4 linked regions of the Schizosaccharomyces pombe genome follow. The gene in region 1 interacts genetically with each later gene. Each region holds a gene or a part of one and is shown on either strand. Other genes may lie near its edges. The genes, in order: rho3, apl4, scw1 and mug33.

The links.
Region 2: of rho3 (region 1) and apl4, extra expression of one rescues a mutant of the other (dosage rescue), as found in Schizosaccharomyces pombe (one study listed by BioGRID).
Region 3: mutations in rho3 (region 1) and scw1 impair growth when combined (synthetic growth defect), as found in Schizosaccharomyces pombe (one study listed by BioGRID).
Region 4: mutations in rho3 (region 1) and mug33 impair growth when combined (synthetic growth defect), as found in Schizosaccharomyces pombe (one study listed by BioGRID).

The regions. Positions count from the first base shown.
Region 1 is NC_003424.3:1,039,760-1,043,630, reverse strand, and holds rho3 (Rho family GTPase Rho3), read right to left. Parts: upstream 2,183-3,871; 5' UTR 2,097-2,182; coding exon 2,033-2,096; intron 1,959-2,032; coding exon 1,886-1,958; intron 1,652-1,885; exon of another isoform or gene 1,562-1,651; coding exon 1,081-1,561; 3' UTR 548-1,080; downstream 1-547. Other genes in the region: SPOM_SPAC23C4.09C (chaperonin-containing T-complex associated protein), read left to right, coding at 1-35, 119-249, 367-411; karyogamy protein Tht2, read right to left, coding at 2,785-3,390. UniProt on the Schizosaccharomyces pombe protein: Involved in controlling cell shape and septation. Regulates cell separation by modulating the function of the exocyst complex. Involved in post-Golgi vesicle transport. Involved in driving sexual development in a palmitoylation-dependent manner.
Region 2 is NC_003421.2:2,400,041-2,405,316, forward strand, and holds apl4 (AP-1 adaptor complex gamma subunit Apl4), read left to right. Parts: upstream 1-1,956; 5' UTR 1,957-2,026; coding exon 2,027-4,537; 3' UTR 4,538-4,763; downstream 4,764-5,276. Other genes in the region: acyl-coA-sterol acyltransferase Are2, read right to left, coding at 1-333; protein Cwf18, read right to left, coding at 5,075-5,276. UniProt on the Schizosaccharomyces pombe protein: Adaptins are components of the adaptor complexes which link clathrin to receptors in coated vesicles. Clathrin-associated protein complexes are believed to interact with the cytoplasmic tails of membrane proteins, leading to their selection and concentration.
Region 3 is NC_003421.2:671,588-675,763, forward strand, and holds scw1 (RNA-binding protein Scw1), read left to right. Parts: upstream 1-1,888; coding exon 1,889-3,574; 3' UTR 3,575-3,664; downstream 3,665-4,176.
Region 4 is NC_003421.2:2,045,647-2,049,786, reverse strand, and holds mug33 (protein mug33), read right to left. Parts: upstream 2,209-4,140; 5' UTR 1,852-2,208; coding exon 841-1,851; 3' UTR 501-840; downstream 1-500. Other genes in the region: SIN component scaffold protein cdc11, read left to right, coding at 1-372; cox13 (cytochrome c oxidase subunit VIa), read left to right, coding at 2,452-2,614, 2,663-2,687, 2,738-2,787, 2,836-2,890, 2,943-3,002, 3,087-3,126. UniProt on the Schizosaccharomyces pombe protein: Has a role in meiosis.

The sequences.
Region 1 (3,871 bases):
TCGTATAGCGTTGGTACGAAAAGATCGTGCTGAAGGTAAGTGTGATTTCATTTTCTGCGGCGGATAATAATTTAATATCTGTTTACGAATAATGTAAACATGTGTCTAATTTGTGTAGCTGTTGAAGAGCTCCTGTTACGTATGGCCAAAACGGGCCAGATATCTCATAAAATCTCAGAGCCCGAACTTATCGAATTGTTAGAAAAAATTTCTGGTGAGGTCTCCAAACGTAATGAAACAAAAATTGTGGTAAGTGCCTTACTAATTCCTTCTCTCCTTTTTTATTTCAAATTCATCTGAGGAGAGAAATATCAAAAAAAAACATCTGTTTATATTACATGGTCCAGAGTTTAACTGTTTAATTAGATCAATCGACGTGTTCAAGACGATGAGGATGACTGGGATCTTTAATTTAAAGGATAAAGACATAATAAATTTTGTTTTACTTTCAAATGGATCAAATTGAATTAGGGTTGCACGGATGCACGAATACAACATATTGGGTAGTCTAAATTTTTACAATTTTTAACTTCAATTACGATATTTAGGGGTAACACTTCATATTACATAAATATTTAAGGTGCTTTCTAAAACGGTAGGATTTGACTCAGACCCATGTCTTACAACCGAAAGACTAATCCTTATTGCTCAACAGTATGCTTATCGTAAAAGAAAAGGGGTAGATTAATTGATTAGATTAGCAACTCAACGATTACACGAACAGAAGGAGAATTGAACAACTCAAAGTGTACAAGTTTCAAAAAAGAAGGAAAGTAAGGTTCACTGCAAACACTCTTTTTCACGATTGTACAAATACCTGCTGTTTCAAGTAGGAAGGTAAGAAAGATAGACAATACACCTGAAATAAGGAGATAAACTCATTGGAAACGGACAGAATCCCCAAGTGTCAAATTTAAAACCTTGAGAACAGCAAAGGGGATAAAAGTCAAAAGTACAAACCATTGAAAAAAGGTTAACGCTATTCAAAGGCCACCGCAACACCCACACTAACGTCATATACAATAATAAACTTCGAACATTAGAAATAAGACTTTTAGGCGCTTTCAAAAGAAAGTGCTTTCAAGCAATGATACATCCGGTACCATGGGATTCATCAGCACCATCCTTTGTACCTCTTGGTTGCGCGGCAAGGGCAACGCGTGCAGCTTCCGTGAAAGCTTCATTTACGCCACGATTTAATTTAGCGCTGCATTCTAAATATCGTACAGCGTTGATTTTTTTTGCCGCTGCCAGTCCTTCCTCGTAATCAATAATTTTACTGTGATCAACTTGCTCCTCATCAGCTCCACGTAAATCACATTTTAGAGCAACAAGAACCAATTTAACACCAGGGCAATTACTAGAGACTTCCGGAAGCCATTTTGTGATTACATTTTCTAATGAGTCTCGTGAATCCACGGCAAAGCAGATCATAATAACATGTGTATCTGAATATGATAACGAACGCAGTTGATCATACTCTTCTTGACCAGCTGTATCCCATAGAGACAGTTCTATACTGTTTCCATCGACAAAGATATCATGAATGTAGTTTTCAAATCTATTTTTAGGTGTTAGATAACGGAAAAAGTTTTTAAGTACAAGAAGATAATCATGTAAAGAAGTGGTGAAAACCCTTAACAGGTCAAGCATAGTAAAAGCAATTTGACGTTTGGTCATGAGAAATTGTACGAGTGTGACTGTATGGAGAGCACACTCGGGCATTCTCGTTTTCCTCAGAAATGAAACAAATTTCCACAAATTAACCCGTTAGATAAAAGGTTTGCAAAAAAAGATGCTTCATATTGAGTTATACTTGATATTGCAGACGGTAACCTCATTTCCGCTCCGCCGTTTACAGCTTTGCACTATTAATGATACTTACATAGTAGGCTCGTATACCTGAGGGAAATAACCCTTAGTAAATACATTTAACAAACTGGTTTTACCAGCAGCACCTATAATTTACGGTTAGAATGCTTAGCTGCGAAAATCACGAAAGAAAAAACAAAATTTTCACCAAGATCCTTACCATCACCAAGAATTACGATTTTCCGATAAATAGGCTTCTTTTTACTTCCGAAACAGCTTGACATACTTTCAATGAGCTTCAATCAAGCTTTCTATGGGTTTTTCAATGGTTTCTGTATAATAAAGGATTAGAGGTGTTTGGTTTAGGTACGAATTTTGTACCATGAGCTAAAGCCTACGCAAGACCCCAGCTTACTGCTTAGCGAAGGACATACATGTCCTTGTGCGCTGTAGATTGGCTTCTACATTTCAGGTAACAATCAAATTTAGAATAATTAAGGCGATGCGAACCAGTTTATTAAAAGAGATACGGAAATACGTAATACAGAATGAACTTCGCAAGTAGGATTGTTTCATAATATATTTTGATGAGTAAAGCATTAATTCATTGATGAACAAAACCTTCGAAGGATAGTTTTACTAAAATATATTGGGGAAGTCTACTCTCAGTCTCAAAATGAAATACACGGTATATATAACGTGATTGCTAAATAGGAAGAAAATCAACAGCACCAGTTAGTGAAAGTTGACCAAGGGCTTGTCAATTTTGAGGCAACCCTTTCAATTGAAAGTTTAAAATTTAATTGAAAATCGTACTTTGATGAGTTTGAAAAAGGAGTCACACAATAGTACAACCAACTTTACCGTGGTTTGTTTCATGATAATAGTTTAATTTGCACAGCAACTGTTGGAATCATGAATTGAATAGCACCTTTAAAAGAAGAAAATTTTGTTTGACATTTGAATATGCTTTTAAACTTTTTGTGCCGCTTTATGGCTACTTTCCATTATGTCGTAAAGTGTTTTTGCCGAGTCATTCAGAGCATCTGTATAATGTTGAGTTAAAACAAGCCATTCGGCTACAAAAGAAAGCATCTGTAATTCCATCTGTTTTCTATGATAACCCAATTGGAATTGGAAAAACCATTCTTGAGAAGAATCGCAAATTTGAAACTCCTTCGCTACCTTTAACGTTGTTTCAAACGCCTCGCACAATTTGCTGTAAACCATCATACAGAATTTGAGCATTTGTTCAATTTGCTTTGCTAGTGACATAAATACCATCTTTACTGTGTTCGAGGTTGACACAGACGTTTTTTTCATAAGTGATTGATTTTTGTACAACCTTCTTTTTGCGCGCAATAATAGTCTACTACGTTCACTGATAAATACCATCTCTTGAGTTACATAATTATACATTTCTTCTGCGTAGCTTTTTGCATTTTTTGAAGATACGCTAATTTTCGTCAAATTAACTGTTACGTCCCCAAAGCTGGGATTATCATCACTCAAGCTTTTCATATAAGTCTTCCATTCCATTGGAGAATCAATTAGAAAACTGGACACCTGATTCTCCATTTTCTGTATTGTGAGGTTAAAATGTGAAGGGATCAATACACGTTTTCTCGTTTAGGTGCGCTGGTAACAACAAAAAAGTAACAAACAAAAGGAAAGTCAGCAAAACACATAATAAACCAACATGTAAAAAAGTGTTAGTGCAATTGCTTATGCCCTCAAATTTGTAATTGAGTGTTTATAAAGTTCATTTCCTTATGTGAATATTCGTATTATCAGTTATGACTCGTTGCTCTGCTTGCGACTTAAGTTTGCTACCATGCGTTTTTCTTACAACAATTCAGAGATTATTTTCATGATGATTGCTACCGGGTTGCATGAATTAACAACTTAGTTCAATTGTTTTGCTTTTACGATCAGTTTACCCTCTCTCATATTGCGGCGATAATCTGATATTTCAGAGAATTTTAGTTTTTCAAATTGCGAAAAAAAAAATTTTTCAACCAACTTGTATTTCATTGCTAGTGGTTTATTTCATTGATTG
Region 2 (5,276 bases), on another chromosome or scaffold:
AAGGTCTGCCTTTGCCAGATCTAACAAATTAGACTGAAAGTATTTAAAAATAGTGCCAACAACTGGTCTTCCAGTCAATTCGAAATTTTCTAAAAAGCTCATGAAAATCATAATAGAGACAGCAACCCAAAATAACACAAAAAATCCAGTAAAGTCTACCGCATTACGTTGATAATTACGAGCAAAAATCGAGGGAGTAGGAGATAATTCCAGAGGTCGGTAAGCGGCCCTAGACCTTCGAAGGTCAATTTTTGAGGTTTCAGAAACACCTTTGAACGTCTGTTCCAAGTTGACATCCGATGGTTTGGATTTAGCGGGTGTTGCAGCAATCATCTTTAAATAACCAGCAATTAAAGCAACTAAGTGAATATATAACAAAAAAGATAAATATATAAAGAAAAAGATAAAACAAAAAAATAACGTAAAATCAGCAGCTACGTATCGCGAACAGTATCAAAGAAATTGAAAAAGAAGCGGATATGAACGTAGGAAGATTAAATTTATTTTTTGCTTCGCTTCTAAATAAAAAATTGAGGAATGAAAGCAAGAAACTTAGAAATGTAATCTATTGATGGAAGTTCCAACTTGGAATTTCAAGATGACAGAACTGGTATGACGAAAACTCCACAGTCGTGATTCCAAAAATAAAAATTCTATGCCAAATGTTCCACTATAGAATGGAAGTAAATAAAAAGCTCGAACTCCTAAGCAATTCACGTTCTATGCGATTTATGTAAGGAAAAGCCAAGTCTCCAGTTTCAAAATGAGCAAAGGAGTTGATAAGTTAGAATTGCGAGCTAAGACGATGAACCACCTGATCTCAGCAATATCTGCAATACTACACCACGTTATGTAAAATTTCGTTACGTATCACTATATATCACATGTCCTATTCATTTATCCGCTATATGTGATACGACATTGGCACTTGCTTATTGTAGCTTATTACCAAATGACTGACAGGTACAAACAAAAAAGAATGCTCAATCGAACCTTTTTCCCTTAGTTTACATATTATGAGCATTTCAATAATAATTTACAATAACACCTTAATACCCGATTTTCGCGTTACCTGCATATCGCAATATAGTAGTGCACAAATACAACTCACTGTGATTTAACGTGCCATTAAAACTGGTTACAAACTGCATAGTTAAGAAGCAAAGCCACATAGCGTGGTCAAGAACGAATAGAGAAACATAAATTCCAGATATTGCCCATCAATTAACAACTCCATATAGCAAATTCGATAGGATAATTCAAAAATTACACAGATAACCAAAGGAAGCTAGGTATTCTTTTAATTTGTGCAGTATTGGTGAATGCATCAGTTTTGAGCGTCGTTTAAAGCTGCATCCTATTTTGTTAAGTGAAATTGATTTGATTTTCATTGTTTTATATATTCTGTGTTTAGATTGCGTTTTTCTGTTTGCTTTCAATACATCTCATAGAAATGCAAGTTAATATTTACTGGAATCAATTATAGTAGGAACGTAAAATATCTCAGTGAATATTGGTACGGATGGAAAGATAACTTTAGTATTGCACATGGATTTTATTAAGAACCTCTAATAAGGGAATGTGTATTAAACGTAATATGATTACTGAAAAGCACAAAAACCATACCTAAAAAATATTCAACTCTTAGCCATAGTACACCTTCTTAAATGTACTTGCAATAAGTGGTAACATAATATTAAGTTAATCAATATAAATGGTATTTACATCTGCTTAATAAAAACTAGGAATTATAAAAAAAGACACTTCAGCTGACTTAACGTAACACAGCAGCAACAAAACAAATTAAAATTTATTTTATTTAAAGCATATTTTTTAGTATTCATTATTGATAGATTGACGAAAGAGTCGCAACGTTAAATTCGTTTTAAAGAAATTTACCGTGCAATACCCTACCGCATGTACAAGCAACAGCCAAGTAATGCAAACAACACATCCAAAGAACCTGCATCTTACTTGTTCGGGAGTGGAAAGAGGTTTCACCAATTCCCCAAAGACGCATCCAAAGATGTCAAGTTTAAAATCTTTTATAAAGGCTGTTCGGGCATCCAAAACGACTGCTGAGGAGCACACAACGATTCTCAAAGAGTCGGCTCAAATCAGAAAAAACATTCGTCAAGGTTCTAATGACATGCGTATGCGCAGAAAAAATGTTGCCAAGCTGCTATATTTATTTCTACTCGGTGAGCCGACACACTTTGGTCAGATTGAATGTTTAAAATTGTTGTCGAGTTCGCGATTCATGGATAAACGTTTGGGATACCTAGCAGCTATGCTTCTGTTAGACGAGAACCAGGAAGTTTTGACGTTATTGACAAATTCTCTTCAAAATGACTTGAAATCTAGAGACAAATTTATTGTGGGGTTGGCATTATCTGCGTTTGGTAATGTCGCTGGCCCTGAGCTTGCAAGGGATTTGTCAAACGACATAGCCGAACTTTGCTCTAACCATCATAATTATATATCAAAGAAGGCTGTTCTCTGTGCACTTAGAGTAATTCAAAAAGAACCGGATTTGGAAAGTTTATATATTGAGAAAACCGATGAATTGTTACATTCAAAAAGTCATGGTGTTTTAATGGCTGCTCTTGCTTTTGCCATCAGTGCTTGCAAAATAAATCCGTCGCTAATATCCCGATTTGAAAGTCAAGCTGACGATTTGATTTATCGTATTCGTCAATTGTCCACTAGTACTTACTCCTCTGAGCATAACATTGGCAATATATCTGATCCGTTTTTGCAAGTTAAAATCCTTCAGTTTTTGTCAATACTTGGTCAAAATAACCCTAAAATTTACGACAAAATGAGTGATCTTTTAGCTCAAGTCTGTACTAACACTGATTCCTCTAGAAATGCAGGTAATGCTATTCTTTATCAAGCTGTGCGTACCATCCTTGATCTTAATTCTGACAGTAGCCTTCGAGTTTTGGGGGTCAATATTTTAGCAAAGTTTTTAGGTAATCGTGACAATAACACTCGTTATGTTGCTCTTAATATGCTGAAACTCGTTGTAAATAGTGAAGAAAATGCAGTTCAGCGTCACCGATCAACTATCCTTGCTTGTCTTAATGATGTCGACAGTTCTATTCAATCTCGTGCGCTTGAACTTTCTACATTTCTCGTTAATGAGGCGAACGTTCGTTTCATGGTGCGTGAGCTTTTATCATTTCTTGATAACGTTTCTGATGAATTACGTGGATCCACTGCTCAATATATTACAGAAGTCACAAATGCTTTTGCTCCCAATAAGCGATGGCATTTCGATACCCTTCTACGAGTCTTCAAATCTGCTGGCAACTTTGTCAGTGAATCGACTCTTTCAACGTTTTTACGACTCATAGCTAGTGCTCCTGAACTTCATGAATATGCTGTGGTAAAGTTGTACGCTGCTTTAAAGGAAGATGTATCTCAGGAAGCTTTAACTCTTTCTGCTTTTTGGGTAATTGGAGAATATGGTCAGATGCTTCTTTCACCAACAATGAATTTTGATGATGATCAAACCCTTCCTCATTCTGTTTCAGAATCTGATATTGTGGACATTATTGAGGAAGTATTTAATAGCGTTGAAGCATCTAGGTACATAATTGTTCAATATGGTCTTTTCGCTCTCACGAAGTTAAGTGCTCGTCTAGGTTCTTCTTCTACTGCTTCTCGTATTGACAAGATAATTTATTCCTATAAGAGAAACAAGAACACCGAGGTGCAACAAAGATCTGTCGAGTTCCACCTTATATTAAATGACTCCAAATTGAGCAAGACAATTCTAGAACCAACTCCCGCTCCTCTGCCTCCTCCTAGGACCACGCCTTATCAAAATGCGGAGCAAAAGCTAAAGGCTAACAAACACGTAGAAAAACGTGTTCAGGAAAGCAACGAATTGCTAGACCTCATTGGGTTAACTACCCCTTCTGTTGCTGAGCCCTTAGAAACACCAGTGGATGAAATGACTCAAAGCCCTCAATCCAGCTTAAGCCGCGCTCCTTCTACTTCCAAAAAGAGTCATTTTGAAGATATCCTTGGTTTATTTGCTTCTCCGGCGCCTTCAGCTCAACCGGTTGACAGCTTGGCAAGCAGCTTTGCTTCTTTGGACTTTAATGCTTCAGCCAGCCAACCATCAAACAACTTGTCTTTGCTTTCTTCCATACCATCAACTTCCAAATCATACCCTCCTATTGTTGTATTTGATAAACACGATGTGACGTTAACTTTGGTGCCATCCAAAGAAGAAAGTACCAAAACAGCCGTCATTGAAGCTAAATTTAAAAATAAAAATCCAATGACTAGGGTTGAGAAAATACATCTAGAAGTGGCAGTTCCCAAATCACAGAAACTGAAAATTCAGCCCTTGAGGACTACAAGTATGGAGCCTGGTGGAGAAACTTCTCAAACCCTGCGGGTTCATGGGCCATCGGGTTCTCAAGTCAAACTGCGTCTACGTATCTCTGTGGTCCGACAAGGTGGATCAAATACTCTCGATCAGGTAGATTTTGGAAAGTTGCCATCTGACCTTTTACAATAGTATCCGAAGTATGGACAATGCCATTTAAAATATAACGCTCGAGCTATCAAAGAAGATTTCTGACATGATCCATGCTACACTTTTTGATGGGTCTAGTCAGTTTTACGAGAAAATGTTCGTAGAATAGTGAATAATGAGGTAATAGAAAATGAAAGCTCTAATTGTTTTTATGAAAGAAAATAGGTTTTTTTTTATATAATTTTAGCAATTTTCTCGATATGGAATCATGGTATACTTATTGGATAAGTTCACTTATGTAATTTTCAAATTGAGACTTGCTCATTCTTTATTGTATATCATTGAACGGAAATTTGACCTTCCAAACCCTTCATTAAGAAGTGGTCGGATTTAGAATTAAAGCTGTAATATTATTTTAATAGAAGTGCATACCTCCAATACAATCGCAACTAGAAAAGTATAAAATGTAAAATCCTAAACTTATTTCCTTTAACAATTGATCAATGCAATAATTAAGCCTATGAATTATATATTAACTAACAGAGAGTAAATCCAACATTAGAAAGCATTAGTCTTGCTTTAAGCTTTTTCAGTACTATGCGCACGTTCAGAAATTAACTGTTGTATATAAAATGCTATTGCATTTTGATTTTGTGTTTCCAGAGACCGCATTCGCTCTTTTAAATCTCTTTCTAAATCCCATGTAGGCTTTTTAGGTCGCAAAGTTACCAAATCTAGTTCTTCAACAGGAACAGAACTTTGTTCTTCAATTTTTCTCTTA
Region 3 (4,176 bases), on another chromosome or scaffold:
CATCTCCATTATTATTTGGATTAGTTTTCGATTGTCCTTTCATTCATCTAATAACGCTTGTTTTTCTTTTTTCTTTTTTGCATTCTCAGTCTTGGTTGTTTTGCTATTTATTGCGTTCCTCGGTTTCTCCCTATTAAATATTTTCTTTTCATTGTTTTTACGGAAATTCTCATTTTTTCATCTTAGGGGCTCGTTGACTCAGCCTGCACGACAAGGAAAATTATATCCGTTTCGGAAGCACAACGTGTGTGTTGAAAGTCTTACTTTTCTTTTTTATTTTTCTGTACCCTTTCATTGAACTTTAGCCATTTGTTGCTTTGTTGAATTTTGGCCATAAATAGTTTTTCAACTGGGTTTTTATTCGACCTCCTTTCATTATTCATTTCATTTTCATATCTATCCATTTCTATCCCCACTAAACAATTTTGTGTTTTTAGGATTTCCCTATTCTCAATCCATAAAATAGTCACGATTCGTTTTCATTCAGATACCCGGCTCCTTATTTTTTTTTTTTTCGAAATTTTATTCACTCGTTTGATTTCGTTGATTCATTTCTTCCGCCTTTTACTCATTACTTAAGGGTATTTGCTTATTAAACGTTTGGTCTTTTTTTTTGCCCATCTTTTTGTTCATACAAAGTTTTGTGACATTTATATAATATTTAGTCTCTTCGTTTTTGTGTGGGTTACCTTTTTTGTTTTATTCTTTTTCTTTTTTTTTTCTCTTTCTTCCCTCTTTGTTTTTTCTTCTGACCCTATTTTATGCCTTATTATTATTTTGATCAAGTTTCAATCATTTTTTCACAAAGATTTCATATTCACTTTACTTCTTAGTTTTTTTCTTTTTATTTGAAATTTCTTGGAATCTTTTTGCCTTTTTTCTTTTAACTTGATCTCTCTTATTTAACGTTACTTAGAAAAGCTTCTTTTATTTTGCTTTTCCTTTCATTCTTCGCTCCTTTATAAACCGTGTTCATACTTCTTTTGCTTACGTTTTGCCAATCTTCCCAGCAATTTTACTTCTATCTTGATTGTTCTTGTTGTTGGATATTTACTCTTTGTTGATAGCGGTATATTTTATTTGCTTCTCACTTTTTGCCCGATTGCTTTCCTTTGATTTACCTCTCCAAAAAAAAACAAGTGTCTTTTGTTTACTTGTTTGTATATTTGTTTATACTCTGCTGATTGAAAAGTTGATTGTTTATTTTATTTTTCCATCTGCAACCATTTCTTTTTTTTTGAAAAAAAAAAAATCGCTAACTGATTTTTTTAAGCATTTCGAATACCTTCGAAGTCTTTTTATCGATACTTTTGACGATTTCTTCCTCATAAGCCTTGCCCTAGACTTTTTGTTAGCTCGGTATTTTTGCATATTTCAGTCATCTTTTTTTCATTTTCAGTTTGTGTTTTTTGCTTCACAGTTGTATCTGTCTCTCTTTTAGCAACTAGAATTATTTGTGGTGGTCAACAGTTTACCCTTTGCTCTCGTTTTCTTGAAGTTACAGTCTTTCTTTTATTATCTTCGTCCAGTATTCTAGGTTGTTGCCCTTCTAATTCTTTCGCGTCAAGTATTTGGATTTTTCTAATACTTGCTAACAATTTTTACTGAATTTTTTATTTTTCTTCATTGCCCTTGCTTATTTTTATTACTTACACACTTTCTTTTTAGTCGACCAACTAGGTTTCTAACTTTTTACTCCACTTATTAACTATTTCGTGTTATTAAGCTTGAAGCCTCATTTATTATCGTTTGGGGTTTATTTAACAACTACTGCTATTTCATTTGTGTTTTACTTTTAGGCATCTATTGCTTATTTTGGTTACTTTATCAACCACTTTGTCATTCTTTTTTCTCTTCTTTTCAATTACCATTATATATAATTTGCAAAATGTTTGTGGGATCACCGAGCGCTATTGAAAAGCCTTTATCGTTATCCAGTAAGACCAAAGTCGGGGACGAAACCGAGTTTACTGAAGATGCGCTACGTGGTTCATCGTTGGTTCCAACCGGTATTCTGAATGGAGATGATGAATGTCATGCTCTTCACATGTCTCCTCAGGCTATTCACAGCCAAGCTGGGAAAGCTGAATCTGACGGTTTACCTACTTATGCATCTGTGGAAAAATCCACAACTCCGATTGGTAGACTCCTCTCTAACCTCAACGGTGGATTAGCCTCTGCTCCTCCTAAGGTTGGATTCGGTTTTCCTAGATATTATGCTTTGCGGATTGAGGATTTACCTAGGGACTTAACACCCAGAGAGTTTTTATGTACCTTTTTATTCGCTACGAATGTAGTATCCGTCGAGCTTAATCCTGTATCCGTGGATAATGAAGTTGCTCATGGATTGGCGGTGTTTTCATCCCGAGATGCTGCTGCATCTGCTAGAGACACTTTGCTATCTAGCGATGTTTATTCCGCGTGCAGCATGATAATTTTAGACAATTATCGAAAGGGAAGTCAAACAAATCTTAGCGACGAAACTGAGGGCTCTGAGAGTAGTGTTTCATTTAACAGACTGTCTCGAAACCATTCTCCAACTCGTCCACTGTTAGGAAATCGTGATCTTTTCCGCAGGTCAAGTAATCATGTGTCAGCCAGTATGCCTACTGCAAATCATTCGGAATCTGCTTATCGTCATTCAAAAACACCTTTGGGTGATAGCACTTTTCAGGCTCCTAACAATGGAGGTAGTTTGCATTCCGATAGGTTGTGGTCTTCTTTCCCTGTTTCTTATCCTTTAACACTCGCGAATGTGTTAGCCAAGGATGAAGTTGGTTCACCTACGTGGTCACCCACTCCTTCCAAAAGTAGTACCAATTTGCGTCAAGACGGTGTTCCTCCGATTTTGCGATTTAACTCATTATCTATTAACACCAACGTGGCGCGCAATTACCTTTCATCTGAAAAGGGTTATAGCGCTCATACCCAAAATTCTAGTGCTCAATCACCCCATCCTCGTGTCTTTTCGGCAAACAGTGCATTCAGTACAACAAGCCCTCCTCCCTTGACACCATCAACATCAAGAGACTACCCATTTTCAGCTTCTACCATTTCACCTTCCACACCATTTTCGGCTTATTCCTCCAGTCATGGAATTCATCAACGCATCCCTGCTTCTACCCCCACGAATACCAACCCTGCTGATCAAAATCCTCCTTGTAACACCATTTATGTTGGAAATCTTCCTCCTTCTACTTCCGAGGAAGAGTTGAAAGTTTTGTTTTCCACTCAAGTTGGATACAAAAGACTTTGTTTCCGCACTAAAGGCAATGGCCCCATGTGTTTTGTTGAATTTGAAAACATTCCATACGCCATGGAAGCCTTGAAGAATTTACAAGGTGTTTGTCTTAGCAGTAGCATTAAAGGTGGTATTCGTTTGAGTTTTTCGAAGAACCCATTGGGAGTGCGCTCATCAAGTTCATCGCATAACAACCATAATGGAAACGTTCGTAACCTTCACTCTGGTTCCATGAATAATTACAATACAGACTCTTTGCTTAATCATACTGGTGGACATAACGAAGTCCACGCCAGTCCCAGTTGGGGTAATAATCTAATGTATGGCAAATAGCTCATCTAGCATTTTCTCGTCTTCATTTTATCATTATTCATCAATACCTTGCAAGGACTTTAGGTCCAAATTTTTTAAGCATATTGTTTCTCTTTTTTTTTTTTTGAGTTTTGCATATTGATTCTTTGTTAATCAAAAGTTGCGATCTATTCCACTTTGACTGCATGCAACTTTAACCATCTGTTAAGCTTAATTACAATTTGTCGATTTATGCGATCTGTTTTATTTCACTCTTATATAAGATGGGTACTTGCATTGTTTAGTTGTCATTAGGATTTATCATTTGCTCATCATTTCCATATACTTCTGCTACACATATCAATTTACATAATAATATCGACTTTTGCTTCTAAATGAACCCATCTTAAATTGCTAAACAAGTACTGTAACAACTTGGTTAGATGTATTTTTATTGTAACACCCAACTTAAGCTTACATACAAGAATTTTTAGGATACATTGATAAGCAAACACTTAATCCTTTTATAAATATTAGTATAGTCTAGGTGAATAAAATATTTCCAACAAAAACTGTATAATAGTAATCCCGTCCTTTCCCTATTAAGTTGAAATTGATTTACTTTTTTTAAAATTGCGAGGAAC
Region 4 (4,140 bases), on another chromosome or scaffold:
AATAGAATCAAAAAGATGCGAAATTTATGTGATATATTGGCAAACCTGAAACAGTTAAACGTACTGGATCTGCGCATGAATCCTCTTAATTTCAACATTTATCCCGTAATTGACGACTCTATTTATGAGCTCTCTGCAGCCTCAAAATACCAACAAAGTATCAACCAAAAAGGTCATCATAGAAAAGAAGACCCGCAAAAGCAATGGCAGGAGAAAGAGCTGGCCTTTAGTTCCACTTTGTCTGAGGCATGGAGAACAAGAAGAAAAATGTATGCTGAAGCTATTTTATTGGCATGTCCACACTTAGAATGGTTGGATGGATCTGATGTTTCACAATCATCTCGCGCTGCATTCACCAAATCATCCAACTAGTATGACTTGTGAAGATATAGCTTGAAACATTTTTACCTTTCAAATAGCAAGATTGTTTCGCTGTTGTGTAAAGGTTAATAATCACAATACATAATACACCATAATACTCGCCATTACCATAGTGTAAATAATAATTCGATTTCTGGATGGCACATACAAAATGAATAAGCATAATGAAACGTGAAGGTCGTCTAAAAATATATATATATTAAAAAAAAAGAAAAAGAACCCTATTGAAAGAATAAAAAATAAAAGAAAACCCCTCCAACTCTTCTTACATTCAACTAGCTTAAAACAGATAAATTCTATTGAGAAACAGTGACATTAAACACACACATATGTACCATATAAGTATCAACTAAATAAAGGAAAAAGGTAAAGGGGGGACGGTTAAAAAATGCTTTGAAAGTGAAATTAGAAAACATGTAGAGATGATAAATGATAGATAAAACTCGATTGGTCGATAATTTACGAGCGGCCCCATGAAAATCTGCTGGGCTTCTTGTCGTTATTGGCTTGAACATCATTAATCGACCATGGATTTGGAGCTGGAGCTGAAGCGGGATCTTTAAAGGGATTTTCAGGATCTCTAAACGGATTTTCAGGAGCCTGTTCTGCAGGCTTATTGCGCATAAACGGAAAGCGGAAGCCCGAGTTAGATTTCGGAACGGGAACGGGCTCACGAACAGTTGGGGCATAGGAAGACAGAGAACGACTATCGTTGCTAAAAGTAGGCTTCAATTTTGAGACAGAGCCTCCACGCTTGAGACCATCATCCTCGGAAATGGTATCGTACATAGGCTTTTCGGCAGAATAATCGCTGAATTTGGGAAGGTCTCCCTTGCGAGAAGAAGTAGAAAAGATATTGCTGCTGTTTTGCAAAGAGTACGGATTGTAACCCAAGCTGCCAGAGGTGGCGCGACGAAGATGCTTGGCCTGTAACCTTGTGGCTTGTCTGCGTGCAACAAGGAGTAAAAGCAAGACGATGAGTTGAATGCCGACATTGGCGAGCACAAGCCATGACGGCCATTGAATATGGGGGACAAAAGTGATGACACAGATAACGAAAGCAATGGCGGTGATAAAAATGTTAAAGAATGTTATGGTTCCAATGACATTGAAGAAGCCGGGAGAGCGGGCAATGGCACCAATGTGGGCGAATATAGTCATAATGGTGGATATGAGACAGATGCAGGCAGACACGGGAACAATCACCAAGCCGTAGGAAGCTCTTTGACGCACAATAACGGAGGTACGAAATCCGTCCTTTGCATGTTCATCAAGGTAATCCGAGTTGTAACCAACTAAAGGCTTGCTGCAATTTGAATTTAAGCAGTAACCGAAAACGCCAAATCTAACGTCTCCATACTTTCCTAAAGTAAGATTGTTTGCAAGAGGAGGAGTACATATAGCTAAGACGAAAAAGACAATGGCGATAACCAGTAAGATAAGGGAAGGAGTAGCACTACGAATCCGCATTTTTTAAAAAAAAGCGGAAAAGCTTTGGAGGGTGATTTGAGAGAGTAGTTTTTGAGCTTTTGCTAGCTACCAACAAAGTTCAACTTTGCACGGTTAGGATTTAAAGATTTCCTTTTTGTTCCTCTACAGCGAGAAACGATCAAAAAAGAGATGAAATCCGAGGGGAAGGCAGAAGTTGAGAAAGGGCAATTTGGTACGTAGCAATGAACGAAAAGGCTCTCAATTCGACTAAAAGTGTTTAAATTACCAATTCCTAATATGGAAAAAAGAAATAATTTGTCCTTGAAGTCGCTTTTATGTATTTGGCGGAAAGGCGATTTTTGGTGGTGAGATATGATGAGGTTTTTGTTGTTGGTTGTGGTTGAGTTAAACGTTGTTTGACTTCATTCCCCCTTTGCGCCACACTTCAGTAGTACGGTACGCTACGCAACTGAACGCTAAACATTGCTAAGGTAAATTTGTACCGAGGTAGAAGAATGCACACGGTGCGTTACTACAGTATATGGGTAGAATTACGAAGGTACGGGAGGAGCAGAATGTTCACAAGCAACAACTCCCATCTCCTTGAAAACATCGTAAAAAAGCGAATTTGTTAGTGTAATGAGCATGATGAATCGTAACATTGGCTTCCTATCCAGAACATTGAAGACGAGCGTTCCTAAGAGAGCGGGTTTGCTCAGCTTTCGAGCTTATAGTAACGAAGCAAAGGTGAACTGGCTTGAAGAGGTTCAAGCAGAAGAGGAGCATGCAAAGCGTAGCAGTGGTATGTGAATTGTGGGAATAGAAATTTATCTTACTAACGGGTTTATAGAATTCTGGAAGAAAGTGACTTATTAGTATGAACATGAGGAAGTGAAGAATTTGTGTGGTAGCTAACATTTGCCAGCATTGGTGGACCAGCATTGATATTGGCTAGTGCCAATGCGTATTATATTTGTACGTAAAAGTGTAATGTGAAGATTTGCAACGACTAACAAGAGATAGATTGCAAGCATCAAGAGCATGCCAAGCATGTTGAAGATACGGACCCTGGTTATAGGTATGAAGAAGATAGAGAAGAAATGAAAGGAAGGGACTAATGAATGGTTTAGCTTTGAAAATTTGCGCTTCAAAAAGTATCCATGGGGAGACGGTAGCAAGACACTTTTCTGGTAAGATGAGAATGAGAGAGAAGAGAGGAAAGAAGGGAGAGATTATGTTTGTATGAGACAAGGAAATTTACTAATGATATACAGGAATGATAAAGTCAATCATTTAAAGAAGGATGATGAATAGGCATAGCGTTCTTTAAGCCTTTTTGCACGACTCAATTAACCCCCATACCATGTAGCAAGCAAAGAAGAACGAATAAGGTGTTGGAGGGATGCATAACGGAAAGTGTGTTTTTAGCAATGCTAAAAGGTAATAGTGAGACCATACGGGTTTGTATTGCCAATAGCTGTTTTCTTATCAATAGTGACTTTCAGCATTGGATTCGTTATTTGTTTAGCGACGTACAGTGAATAATCATTGATTTCTGAAAAAGCAGAAAAGAGAGATGAGGTAGTTGAAGGAGGATATGGAGACAGTTGCATACTATGTAAACAAAATGAATAAGTGATGAGACTGAAAGTTGGCATGCGAAAAAGAGAACGAATATATATACAAATCATTAATATGCTACAAGTAGTTCACAGTCTGTTTCTATCCTTTTGACTTTTTTATTTTTACTGTTTAAAATTATATTTTGCATTAGTATATATGTAACATTAAGATTATAAGGAATTATTAATCTCAAGATAATAATGAGTTTTGTAGGAGTGTTTTTCAAGGAAGAAACGTATTCAAGGAAATGGAAAAGTGTTTACAAAGCTATAACATATTGTATTTGAAAAAAGTTTTATTTTGATTAACTGGGATCGTAACTAGAATGTGAAAATGTTTCTAGTGTAGAGACATAATATAATAAGAAAAGGACTTGAAAAATAGCGGATGCGAGCGTTACCTAACGAGAGTGGGCAACATGGTAAAAGGGAAAAGGAAGGAGAAGAAAAATGGTGCAGCGAGCAAATAATCCAAAGGCACCTAATATGACTATGAGTGGTAGCGTGGTGTTTGTGCGATGAGTTACACCAAGTAGGAATTAAGGGAAATAAAACGAGACGAAAGGAAAAGAAAATAAAATAAAAGGGAAAAAAAATAAAAATAAAAACTTGAGTGGAAAAAAGGAAACATGAACCCTAAAAAATAAAAATAAAAGGGAAGAATGAAAACCAAAAATAAAAGTGAGGAATGAAAACAAAAAATTTA